Linked DNA regions of Callithrix jacchus. The protein of the gene in region 1 purifies or fractionates together with the protein of each later gene. This does not show direct contact. Links are inferred from orthologs where the notes say so. Each region holds a gene or a part of one and is shown in the gene's direction. Other genes may lie near its edges.

Region 1 (4,439 bases):
TTTTGTAGAGACGATGTTCGCCATGTTGCCCAGGCTAGTCTGGAACTTCTGGGCTCAAACAATTCGCCCGCCTTGGCCTCCCAAAGCGCTGGAATTACAGGCACGAGCCACTGTGCCCGGCCAGGCTGCTGTTTCTTTACCTGAACAGCTTTAGCCTTACAGGCATTCCCTTCCACTAGATAAGATGAACTGAGATGCTCAATCATGTAATGACCCTCTCTTCCTGACAGCATCTAATCCAGAGAAGCCCACACTTCCTTAAACCCTCTTCCGAATCATTAACTGTTACCCAGATGCCCCATCGTTCCTCAATGTGTGTTTTCAGTCACTGCAACTAGTAATAAACCCAGTTTGTTCAACGATCCGTGTGTTCCTGGTGGGATTTGGTTAAAGGGCATTGACAACCCTAAGTGGAGGCTGAGTTCACTAGAAGTCTCCGCTTGTGTGTTCCTTCTTAGCCACTATCACTCTTTTGGTTAATGTCTGTCGTCCCTCTACCAGAATTAAGCTCCATGAGAACAAGAGCCTTGTCTGTCATGTTCAGAGCTGATTCTCAGTGCCTAGAGCGGTACGAAGCAGAAGCTGGATGCTTAAAAAATAACCATTTCTGGGTCGGGCGCGGTGGCTCAAGCCTGTAATCCCAGCACTTTGGGAGGCCGAGGCGGGTGGATCACGAGGTCAAGACATCGAGACCATCCTGGTCAACATGGTGAAACCCCGTCTCTACTAAAAATACAAAAACTTAGCTGGGCATAATGGCGCGTGCCTGTAATCCCAGCTACTCAGGAAGCTGAGGTACCCAGGAGGCGGAGGTTGCGGTGAGCCGAGATCACGCCATGGCACTCCAGCCTGGGTAACATGAGCAAAACTCCGTCTCAAAAAACAAAACAAAACAAAACCATTTCTGAACGAATGAATGAGACGGACTCGATATACGCAGGTTCCCTTTAATCTTGCAGCTCCTTGCAGATTGTATGACATACACACACAGCACCACAGCCCATTTCCCAAAACTCCCTCTTTCCTGAAGAAATCTCCAAACTCTCAGGATGCCCATCTTCTCAGAGCCTCTTCCCTGGGCCAAGCTTCTCTCACTCGCTGGCCCCTTCCCACACCTGAGCCCCAGGCCCATACACCTACCTTCCTAACGCCCCTAGAACCCACCTGTCTCCACCATCTGCCCTTACTACCAGACGCTGGCAGACGGCAGCGCAGCTACCTAAGCGTCGAGTGGGCACTGCGGCATGGACCGCGCATGTGCGGAAATGGGTCGCACACGCAGGACCTCCGACTAGGGAGGAGTTGCCTCGGAGTTTCCGTCCCGGTCTGGGCAGCCTTGGGCTGCCAGGAAGTCAGGAGAGGCTACTAGGAAGTAGAACCTGGGCGCACGGCTTTCTGGGCCATGTAGTCGTGGCGCTCTCGAGGCCCTAATATGAGCACGCTCTTAACTCTTCAGGTTTACACGTCCTACATCCACAGTACAGTGCTACTCTCAGCTCGGAGTTCAGCTTCGGGTGCCTAGAACCAGCGGCCCGGTGTCGGCGGCTCGCTCCCACAACGCACTGCGGGCCGCGGCGCCTGCTGGGAGGTGTAGTTCTTGCTCTGCGTACTGCGTTCGCCGAGGGGGAGGGCGGAGCTGCCGGCGGCCCGGGCGGGCTGGCAGCTAGAGTGGGTGCGATAGCCGCCTACGCCTCTGCCGCCTCCGCCGTCGCCTCCTCCGCCCGGGCCGTTCGCTGCTGCGCGGGGAGAGCGAGGCGGGGCCGCCGGGCCGCCATGGAGCCCGACTCGGTGATTGAGGACAAGACCATCGAGCTCATGGTGAGTGCGGCCCACTGGACCGTCTGTGCTTCCGTCCGTCCGGCCCCGGACTGGCCTGCCCACTTCAACGTCCGGTGCGAGGCCGGCTCTGGCCCTTCCCCGCGGTCTCGGCCCAGACCCGGGCCCCTAGCCTTCTCTGGCTTCGGACTCGGCTCGGGTTCCTCCGATCTCTCGACATCTCAGGCCGGTCCTGGCCCGGCCCCTTCCATGCCCCTCGCTCGCTTCTCCCCCTCCCCCTGTCCCGTCTCCGGTCCCAGCTCTCGGACGACCCTCGCTCGTTTTTGCTGTAGAGTTAGGTCTCACTCGCTCTAGCACCCCATTCTCCTTCTTTTAGAAGGGGATTTTTTTTTTTTTTCTTTACTCTGTGTCTCCGGCCCAGGCCCGCACTGCGCTTGCAAGCCCCACTCAGGCCGAGTGTGGTGGTGGGAAGGAGTAGGGAGGAGATCGGTCGGGGCCGCCTGGGCCTCGGTGTCCTAGGAGGGGTTTCAGCACCCACTCCCCAGCCTAGGTCTGTGTGGATGCCAGGATAGGCCCTGCAGAGCTGGGGGGCAGGGAGCTCTCGGGTTTGAGGCTGTGGCGGATAAGGAGGCCTCTTTCCCGGGCCCTTGTGGTGTCCGGCTTCTCGGACAAAGGGTTTCCTACCCGGCGGAGAGGGATGTTTGCATAGCAAAGCCCCAGGTACTCTGGATTCCATACCCCAGGAAAGAGAAGCCGCAACTTCACGTTTTCCAGAGCTGCTTTCGGAAATTGGGGATGATGGGGGAGGGAACCATCCTCATCACTGCCGGGAGTTCTTTCTTCTCAGAAAGAAAAAAAAAAAAAAAAAAAAAAAAAAAAGGGGAATCCTTGGCCCCCGGGGGAAACGACCACTCTTCTGTTAGAAACCGATGGCAGCCAGGCCAGACTCCCCGGTCCGTGGACACCCTCTACCCTCTTCCGAAGCTTTAGGATTTGAAGCCAGAAGGGGTTTTTAGGAACAGGACCGTGAGAGAGTGGCTAGAAGTGAAGAATTTGCTAATTGGTGGATGATTTGGTGGAAGAAATAAAATATGGCAGATATTACCTGCCAATTTGAACATGAGGGAAATCAAACTGGGCTCTGGAGAGTTGGGAAGAGGAAGTCTGCATGAGCAAACGGACGTGTCCAGGATTTCTTTCTGTGGAAGCCTTGACAGTTTCTTTGTATCTGCCCTAACACGGTAACAATTTCCCCTTGGTTGAGAGGAGAGGTGGAAGAATCTACTTAACCCAGCAAAATGTTTTCCTAGCCAGATTTTCTTCAGTGTGAAAATGTTTATTGAGTCAGTGATTCCACTGGGTAGGGTTGGTGACATCAGAGCCACTTCCCCCATTTAACGCTATAAATAATAAATGGTGACACTGAAAGTCTGTTGGATAGCTGCATGGTTTCTGTGGATGATGGTATCTGGGGAGTGGAGATACTTGTTTTAAAAATGGAAGTACAGTAGCATAAATATGGAGGCAGCTTAATGTTTGCTGTCCTTTGCGTAATTCACAGAACTGGACTTCTCTAGCATTCTTGAAAACTAGGAGGAAAAAAAGGGAAACTGATAGTTTTTGATTTTTGTATGCATGTGTGTGTGCACGTGTGGTTGTTTTCAAAGGGATAATGTCACATGCTGAGTAATTTTTCCTTTTCAGCATAATTTATCATACTTGTAGTCAGTGTTTGCTATTCTGTAACTTTTGTAGTGGGTTATTTTGCTAAATATCTTAAATCGACTAAGTATATTACATATTCTTAAGAATGTTCATACAATACCTGTACTTACAACAGAAGTACTTCATATCGAAAAATTGTAACTTGGTGCCTCTTTGAAATTGGCTGTTCCCAGCTCCTTCTGTTTCTATTCTTTTTAAAAATAACTAAAATGTCTTTATTGTCAAAAGAATTGGGAGAAATACATTGTAACCCACATCAGTGTATGGTTACAAAATAAAAAAAATAAAAACCTTTGGCCTAAATGCATTGGCTTCCTATGTTTGTAACTTAAGTTTTGATTTGACATGATAGCACTTGGTTTTGATCTGAAAAGAGATTTCAGCCTGTTAAGGACATTATAAACGGGGATTTAAACTGGAATTCTTAGAAAATTTAATGGAGAGTTTAGTTATATTATGATTAATTTAAAAATGGGTTTTTATTTAAGGATTTTGATATTCCCTGAAAGGGATACCATTTGACTTTTAGACAGCCCTTATTGTAAATTAAGTTTATGTATTTATTTTAGTAAAATAGCAAAGGTGCTTAACAACTGATTAAGTAAATCCAGGATCAAATGTAGGAATGATAATGCCTTAGAATCTAATTGCATGTGGCTTTCTGTTTTCACTACATTTAAATGACAGTTTCCAGAACTGGGTTAAAAATGTTTTTTACATTGGTTTCAAAATAATACGATTGATAGAGATGGGGTTAAAATGATGGTGTTGTAAAAAAAAATGACCTTAGCATGAAATATTTTTAGATTTTTATGAGTCAACTTGAGTACTCAAATATTTGTGATTGTGCTGCTTGTACCAGTTTGGCACTTAATGGTTAACAAGATAACTTTCATTTTGTATTCCAAAATGTGCTGTACTAGAAAGAGGAAACAGAC
Region 2 (3,657 bases), on another chromosome or scaffold:
TCTGTGACAACCTCTGGGTAGGCTTCCACACCCCTGGGGTTATCTCTCTGAGGCTGGGCCTGGGTCAAGCTGATGGGAGGAGGGGTCAGAGGCTGCTGTGATTGGCCTTGACTCTGCCTGGTGGTTTAGCTCTGCCCTTGCTTAACCTCCAAGAGCTAGGAAAGAACAGTACAAATGGGATGTGACATGATTCAGTGGAGCTGGGAGAGGGGAGGGCCCTGCTCCCACCTCCCTTTGGCCACTGGTTGGCAAATGGCTATAGTTCAAGGTCTCTCTGATGAGGGACTTGGGACCAAGGCCCTGCGGTGGAACAGCCTCTGCTGGCACAATTATCTCATGACCTGTCATTTCTATTGACAGCAGAATGGCCTCCCCTACCAGTTTAACTCGTGGTTTAGGGGGCACTTTTTGTTGTTCTTTAACCTTGTAGAGTGTGGAGCTACTGTAGTGTGTCATAAGCCTGGGGGTTTGGGAATAGCAGTAGAAATTGGCGTCAGATGGGTGAGAATCCACAGGGCATAGCAGAACCCCAGCTCTGGGGGCCCATGGGTGACTTCTGTGACCTTGAGCCCCTGCAGAGCTTTCCCTGCAGTTCTGCCTTCGAGATGCTTGAAAGAGGTTTTATTGACCACTGATCACATGGTGAGTGCTCTGCAAGGCCTCTAGGGGTGTGTGCGTGTGTGTGCACATGCACACTGTGTATGGGTTGGCATTGAGTTGACTTTCCTAAGGGTATGTTCCTGGGCCAGAGGTGAAACTTCAACACTTGACTGGTTGAGTTGGTCTGCCAGATGACCTGACAGAGGGGACAAGACATTCTAGGCAAAAAACAACACATGCCAAGATTGCTTTTATTTATTTTGATACAGGGTCTTTGCTCTGTTGCCCAGGCTGGTGGCGCAATCTCTGCTTACTGCAACCTCTGCCTCCTGGGTTCAAGAGATTCTCTCAACCTCAGCCTCCCAGGTAGCTAGGACTACAAGTGTGTGTCACCACACCTGGTTAATTTTTATATTTTTAGTAGAGACAGGGTTTCACCATGTTGGCCAGGCTGGTCTCGAACTCCTGACCTCAGGTGATCTGCCTGTCTTGGCCTCCCAAAGTGCTGGGATTACAGGCGTGAGCCACTGTGCCTGGCCTTGCACTGGGCTCTTGATGTGTGCTGTCATACTCAATCCTCATGACGGATAAGGAAACCGAGGCTAAGAGTCATTCACTGTCTAAGGCCAGGAACCAAATAATGACAGTTGGCCATGGTATGGGGGGTTAGTTAGCCCTTGGGTGGCAGGGAGGCTGGCTAGCACATCATGGCGTGGAAACATCCTGAGAAAGTATAGTGGAGAAAAAGGATTTGAAGTTGACAGCTTGCTGGCTGGAGAGAGGGGGACCAGGCTCTTCTCTCAAGAAAGCTCCCTGGCTTTCTGCTAACGTGGCCTTCCTGGGTGTGGCGTCAAGTCTTGCGTAACTGGACTGTGGTCTTGGATGCACTAAGAGTAAGAGTGATCAGTCAGAGGAGCAGGTCACTGTGGGCCTGAGAACTCAGGAAAGGCTTCTGAGGGACTGAGGCTTGAGTTTTTGCTTGTAACAGCATCACTTTTTTATTTTGTTTTTTTGAGACAGAATCTCCCTCTGTCATCCAGGCTCAAGTGCAGCTGTGCGATCTTGGCTTACTGCAACCTCCACCTCCCTGGTTCAGGCAGTTCTACCTCAGCCTCCCAAGTAGCTGGGATCACAGGAGCACGCTCAGCTAATTTTTTTGTATTTTTAGCAGAGACAGGGTTTCACCGTGTTGGCCAGACTGGTCTCAGATTCCTGACCTCAGGCAGTCTGCCTGCCTTGGCCTCCTAAAGTGCTGGGATTACAGGCGTGAGCCACTGCACCCAGCCAAGCGTGCACTTTTAAAAACAGCCAGTTTATTGAGACAGGTGGTTTGCATGTATTCTCATTTCAGCTCTATGAGATAGATGTATTTTCCTCATTTTGCAGATGAGGAAACTGATGTTCTGAGTGTAGTACTTTGCCCTTGCACCCAGCAGGTAGAAGAGGGGCTGGACTCCAGGCTATGGGACACTGTCCCCTGCTCTGATGCCTCATGGTCTTTCCTCCCTCTCCAGCTTATCACTCAGACTTTCAGCCACCACAATCAGCTGGCACAGAAGGCCCGGCGGGAGAAGAGAGCCCGGCAGGAGGCTGAGCGGCAGGAGAAGGCGGAGCGGGCGGCCAGGCTGGCCAAAGAAGCCAAGTCAGAGACCTCAGGGCCCCAGATCAAGGAGCTAACTGATGAAGAGGCAGAGAGGCTGCAGCTAGAGATTGACCAGGTGAAGGGTGGGCTTCCCTCCTCCATTCCTCAGATCCCCACTGGCACTGAGCAGTGAGGTCCTGTTGCCAACTGCTGTGTTCTTTGCCCCAGAAAAAGGATGCAGAGACTTATGAGGCCCAGCTCAAGAACGGCAGCCTTGACTCCCCAGGGAAGCAGGTGAGATGGACTGGAGGCACTTGGGATGAGACAGGAGTTTGGAACTTCCAGAGAATCTCCTGTCTACTACCTTCTCTGGAATACCCTTCCTTATCCTATCCCCTCCCCTCCTGGCTTTGGGAATCTTCCCCATACTTTAAGATTACACTCAGAGACATTGAAACAAAGGATCCAGGTTAAAAAAAAAAAAACAAAAAAAACCCCTTGACCTTAACCCATTTATGGCAGGAAAACCCAAGAGCCAGAGAGGGCAGTGCCTGTTACAGGTCCCATCTGAGGTTGCCTGGGTTCTGTGGGCCCAGCCATATCCTTTGTCACATGGTATAATAGTCTGAGCTCCTCTCAGGCAGAGATCAGAACTAAGTTTTACCTGGTTCCCAGTGGACCAATGCTTGGGGATCTGCCTCTCTGTGGAGTGGGCAGGGACCAGGTCTTTTTTGTTTTGTGGCTGTATGCCCAGTGCTAGCTCTGGGCTTGGCCCAGTGAGGTGGGTTCATTCTGTATCTGTTCATGTCTGTCAGGTAAGTAGCTAAGTGTCCCTGATTGTAAGCAGGAGACTGAGGAAGATAATGAGGAGGAAGACGAGAAGGACAAAGGAAAACTGAAGCCCAATCTAGGCAATGGGGCAGACCTGCCCAATTACCGTTGGACCCAGACCCTGTCGGAACTGGACGTGAGTGTCAGGGACCAGAGGTAAAGCTTAGGGAGCCAGCCTGGGGTGCTGGCAGCACTTGGTGGCCCCTCCTGACTGCCTCTGCCCTATGCAGCTGGCAGTCCCTTTCCGTGTGAACTTCCGGCTGAAAGGGAAGGACGTCGTGGTGGATATCCAGCGGCGGCACCTCCAGGTGGGGCTCAAGGGGCAGCCAGCGATCATCAGTGGGGAGCTCTACAACGAAGTGAAGGTGGAGGAGAGCTCATGGCTCATTGAGGATGGCAAGGTGGTGACTGTGCACCTGGAGAAGGTATGTGAGGCCCAGCTCTTTTGGCCTCCCTTCTTTTGGAAGAAGGGAGGATGTGTGCTTATTTTACTCTGGAGCCATGCTGGAGGCATTCTGGAATTATCTTACTTAATTCCCATGACAACACTCTTTGAAGTAGGTCTGTCCCTATTTTTTTTTTTTTTTTTTTTTTCCTTAAAGACAAGTCTCACTCTGTTGCCCATGCTGGAGTACAGTATCACC
Region 3 (3,657 bases), on another chromosome or scaffold:
GAGAATTTCGCCTGGTTTTCTTTTCACCAAGTATGGTTTGGAGGGGCTGGCTCTTTCTGACAAAGACACGGAGGAGGAGAAAAGGCTGAGACCTCTGCGCCTCAGTCCCTCTCATGTCTTCCTTTTCTTTTCTTCTTCTTTTTAAAATGATACTAGATCTCATTTTATTTTCACAACAAAGCTACTTTTATTGCCTCCTTTTATGAAAAAAGGAAACAGGCACAGAGAGGCTAATCGTCCAGGCCCACAGAACTCTAACTTGTACAGGCAAGATTAGAACAGCGAGTCTGATCCTTAGCTGACGGTGGGAGGGAGATACTTTTCTCCTGCAGTCAACCATACAAGGGGAGAAGGAATTGCCTGGAAAGCGTGTGATGCTTTCTTTACTCTTAGTTTCAGGTACGTGTGCAGAATGTGCAGGTTTGTCACACAGGTGTGCGTGTGCCACGGTGGGTTGCTGTGCCCATCAGCCCTCTCGGTCATCGTCTAGGTTTTAAGCCCTGCATGCATTAGGTGTTTGTCCTGACGCTCTCCCTGCCCTCCCCCGCACATCTCAGCAGGGCCCGTGTGTGATGTTCCCCTCCCTGTGTCCTTGTGTTCTCATTGTTCAACTCATTTCTGAATTTGAAACCTCTGAAGTCGCTGATGACGGTTGAACTGAAGCTTCCTGCGCTCTTGAGCTTATTTTGAGAGTTAGGACACATGATTGTGTCCCAGTGTCTGGCTGCCATCCAGGTTTACAGGATCAGGTGATGGTGGTGTTCTGGGGAGCTGGTGCTTTCCCTGGGGTGAAGGAGTGTGGCTCTTGAGGGCGGTGCAGGCCTGAAGGCCCTGGGACCAACAGAAGTGAGAGGAAATGAGAGACGCTGGGAGTCGGGGCCTTGTCCTGGTGCTGCTGGCTGCAGAGGAGGCCAGTCTCTTCTTGCAGGTCTCCCCCACAGGCCTCCCCCCACTCCCTCCGGTCTCTTCTCTCAGGCCTCCCCCACTCCCTGCAGTCTCTTCTTGAAGGCCTCCCCTGCAGGCCTCCCCCCACTCCCTGTGGTCTCTTCTCGAAGGCCTCCCCTGCAGGCCTCTCCCCAGTCCCTGCGGTCTCTTCTCGAAGGCCTCCCCTGCAGGCCTCTCCCCAGTCCCTGCGGTCTCTTCTCGAAGGCCTCCCCTGCAGGCCTCTCCCCAGTCCCTGCGGTCTCTTCTCGAAGGCCTCCCCTGCAGGCCTCCCCCACTCCCTGCAGTCTCTTCTCGCAGGCCTTTCCCGCAGGCCTCCCCCCACTCCATGTGGGTGTGCTCAGGATCTTGGAAGCCCAGTCATAGTCTCCCTGCTGTGCTGATGACAGCAGCCCCATTGGCTCACCGCTTGGGCACAGCCAGCCCAGAATGAAGGCCTGACTCAGCCTCATTTCCTGTCACTCCATGGGTGTGTCTGAGAGGAGCCCAGGAGTTAATGAAAAGGTTTTTACAAAAAATCCGTATGCCTTAAAGGAGAGTTGAGAGCGGTGCTCCCCCTGGATCCGGAGTCCCATTAATGCTAATGAGCTGTGGCTTCTCCCACACACTGTCTTCAGCAGCTTCAAACCGGTCTGAGTTACACTGGAGAGGGAAGGGGACGCTCCCATCCCCCACAGAGAGGTCAGCCTGGGGAAGGGGCATCTAGTGAGCTCCAAGGGCACCTTTGCTGGAAGGAGACCTGAGGCCTGCCTCCCCCGAGTGCAGATGCCGAGGGCGTTCCTGGAGGAGCTGGTGGCCGGTGCTCCCCGGGGCCTGGGCTAGCAGACCTTCACTTGAATGCATGTGTTTGAAGCAGCCAGCCAGTGTCTGCTGCTCACAAAACACCCTAGATGGATGGGGCTGCCAGGCGTGAGTTTTGTTTGCTTTCAAGTTTAAAGGGCTTCTGAAGGTGTGTTTCCCTTTAAAGGACTTGCAGCCACTTGCCCGCCAGCCTTCCCAGCTGGCAGGTTTCACAACCGGCTCCCCGGCTTCTCTAGGAGCAGACCTGATCTTCACATGCGCTGCTGTCTGCCTGAACCCTCTAAGGCGTGCCTGTTCCCCTTTATGCCAACTGGCCGTCACCACAGTGGCAAACACGATGCCTTATAGAAGGTGGATTCGAATTCTTCCGAGTTCTGTTCCAGAGGATTCCTTCCTTACAGCCTGATCCTTTAACCAAAGCCTCCAGGCTTGCTTCTGCCCCAGAATCTGCCCCTCCATGCCTGGCGCAGGGCTGCCTGGAGAGGCACGGGGTGGGCTCTCGGCGCTCCTGGAAAGCTCCCACCCACCCTCTGGGATTGCCAAAGGGAGCTTTTGATAATGCATCAAAGCATCACGCTGGGGGCTAACGAGCCCCGCTCCATGGCTGTGTTGCAGATCTCTGATTTTGGGCTGGCCAAGTGCAACGGGTTGTCCCACTCACACGACCTCAGCATGGACGGCCTGTTCGGCACCATCGCCTACCTCCCTCCAGAGCGCATCAGGGAGAAGAGCCGGCTCTTCGACACCAAGCATGACGTATACAGGTATGTGACATGCCACCCCCCACCCCCCACAGAGGCCAGAGGCTCTGAACCTTGAAGCTTCATGCCCTGAGCTGCAGCTGTCAGAAAGGCCTCTTATTGCCAGTCAGAAGTGGGGTTCAGGCCAGGTGCAGCGGCTCAAGCCTATAATCCCAGCACTGTGGGAGGCTGAGGTGGGAGGATTGCTTGAGCCCAGGAGGTGGAGACTGCAGTGAGCCATGATCGCATCACTGGATTCTAGCCTGGGCAACAGAGCAAGACTCTGTCTTAAAAAAAAAAAAAAATGACAGGGGTGGTGTTGGAAGAGTCTGGGGATTTCCTTGCTGTGAGTGTTGCTGGCCGAGGAGGAGGAGTGGTCCCAGGCGCACGGCAGAGCCACACTGAGAGCCCTGCCCTGCTGGAGCCTTGGCGTTTTTGTGACCTGTGGGTCTTATGGCTTGTCTGCTGGAAGGACCTGCTGCTTTCAGTGGTCTGGGTGTCTGTGTGCATGTGTGTTTGGACTTTCTGAAATTCACTCTGATTTTGTGAGGTGAACAGCTCATCTTCATGCAATTACCTTTGTTGGTCAGATATCAATACCCAGGTCACCTGGTGCCTTCCTTTTTCAAACTGTAAAGATCTTAATCACACAGACTTTGGAGAAGAAAAGAGGGCGGGAGCATGTGAGCAGGCACTAAGCCTCCCACTCTGGCTGTCACCCTCAGCTCTGCGGGTCTGACCCAGCATTTGAGCACTAAGCCTCCTACTGTGGCCCTCACCCCCAGCATTTGAGTACTAAGTCTCCCACTGCAGCTCTCACCCTCAGCTCTGCGAGTGTGACCCAGCATTTGAGTACTAAGCCTCCTACTGTGGCCCTCACCCCCAGCATTTGAGTACTAAGTCTCCCACTGCAGCCCTCACCCCCAGCATTTGAGTACTAAGCCTCCCACTGTAGCTCTCACCCCCAGCATTTGAGTACTAAGCCTCCCACTGCAGCCCTCACCCCCAGCATTTGAGTACTAAGCCTCCCACTGCAGCCCTCACCCCCAGCATTTGAGTACTAAGCCTCCCACTGCAGCCCTCACCCCCAGCATTTGAGTACTAAGTCTCCCACTGCAGCCCTCACCCCCAGCATTTGAGTACTAAGTCTCCCACTGTGGCCCTCACCCCCAGC

The links. The genes of interacting proteins can lie anywhere in the genome.
Region 2: the proteins of FBXW11 (region 1) and NUDC purify together in Homo sapiens (affinity purification with mass spectrometry; 5 studies listed by BioGRID and IntAct, counting the BioPlex papers as one, with this or other methods). This does not show direct contact. The link is inferred for Callithrix jacchus from reciprocal best matches to the Homo sapiens genes FBXW11 and NUDC.
Region 3: the proteins of FBXW11 (region 1) and RIPK4 purify together in Homo sapiens (affinity purification with mass spectrometry; 4 studies listed by BioGRID, with this or other methods). This does not show direct contact. The link is inferred for Callithrix jacchus from reciprocal best matches to the Homo sapiens genes FBXW11 and RIPK4.

What each region holds. Positions count from the first base shown.
Region 1 is NC_133503.1:64,279,045-64,283,483, reverse strand, and holds the start of FBXW11 (F-box/WD repeat-containing protein 11), read left to right. Parts: upstream 1-1,638; 5' UTR 1,639-1,773; coding exon 1,774-1,818; intron 1,819-4,439.
Region 2 is NC_133508.1:63,593,625-63,597,281, forward strand, and holds part of NUDC (nuclear migration protein nudC), read left to right. Parts: intron 1-2,114; coding exon 2,115-2,318; intron 2,319-2,410; coding exon 2,411-2,476; intron 2,477-3,029; coding exon 3,030-3,149; intron 3,150-3,243; coding exon 3,244-3,438; intron 3,439-3,657. UniProt on the Homo sapiens protein: Plays a role in neurogenesis and neuronal migration. Necessary for correct formation of mitotic spindles and chromosome separation during mitosis. Necessary for cytokinesis and cell proliferation.
Region 3 is NC_133522.1:47,550,911-47,554,567, reverse strand, and holds part of RIPK4 (receptor-interacting serine/threonine-protein kinase 4), read left to right. Parts: intron 1-2,358; coding exon 2,359-2,507; intron 2,508-3,657.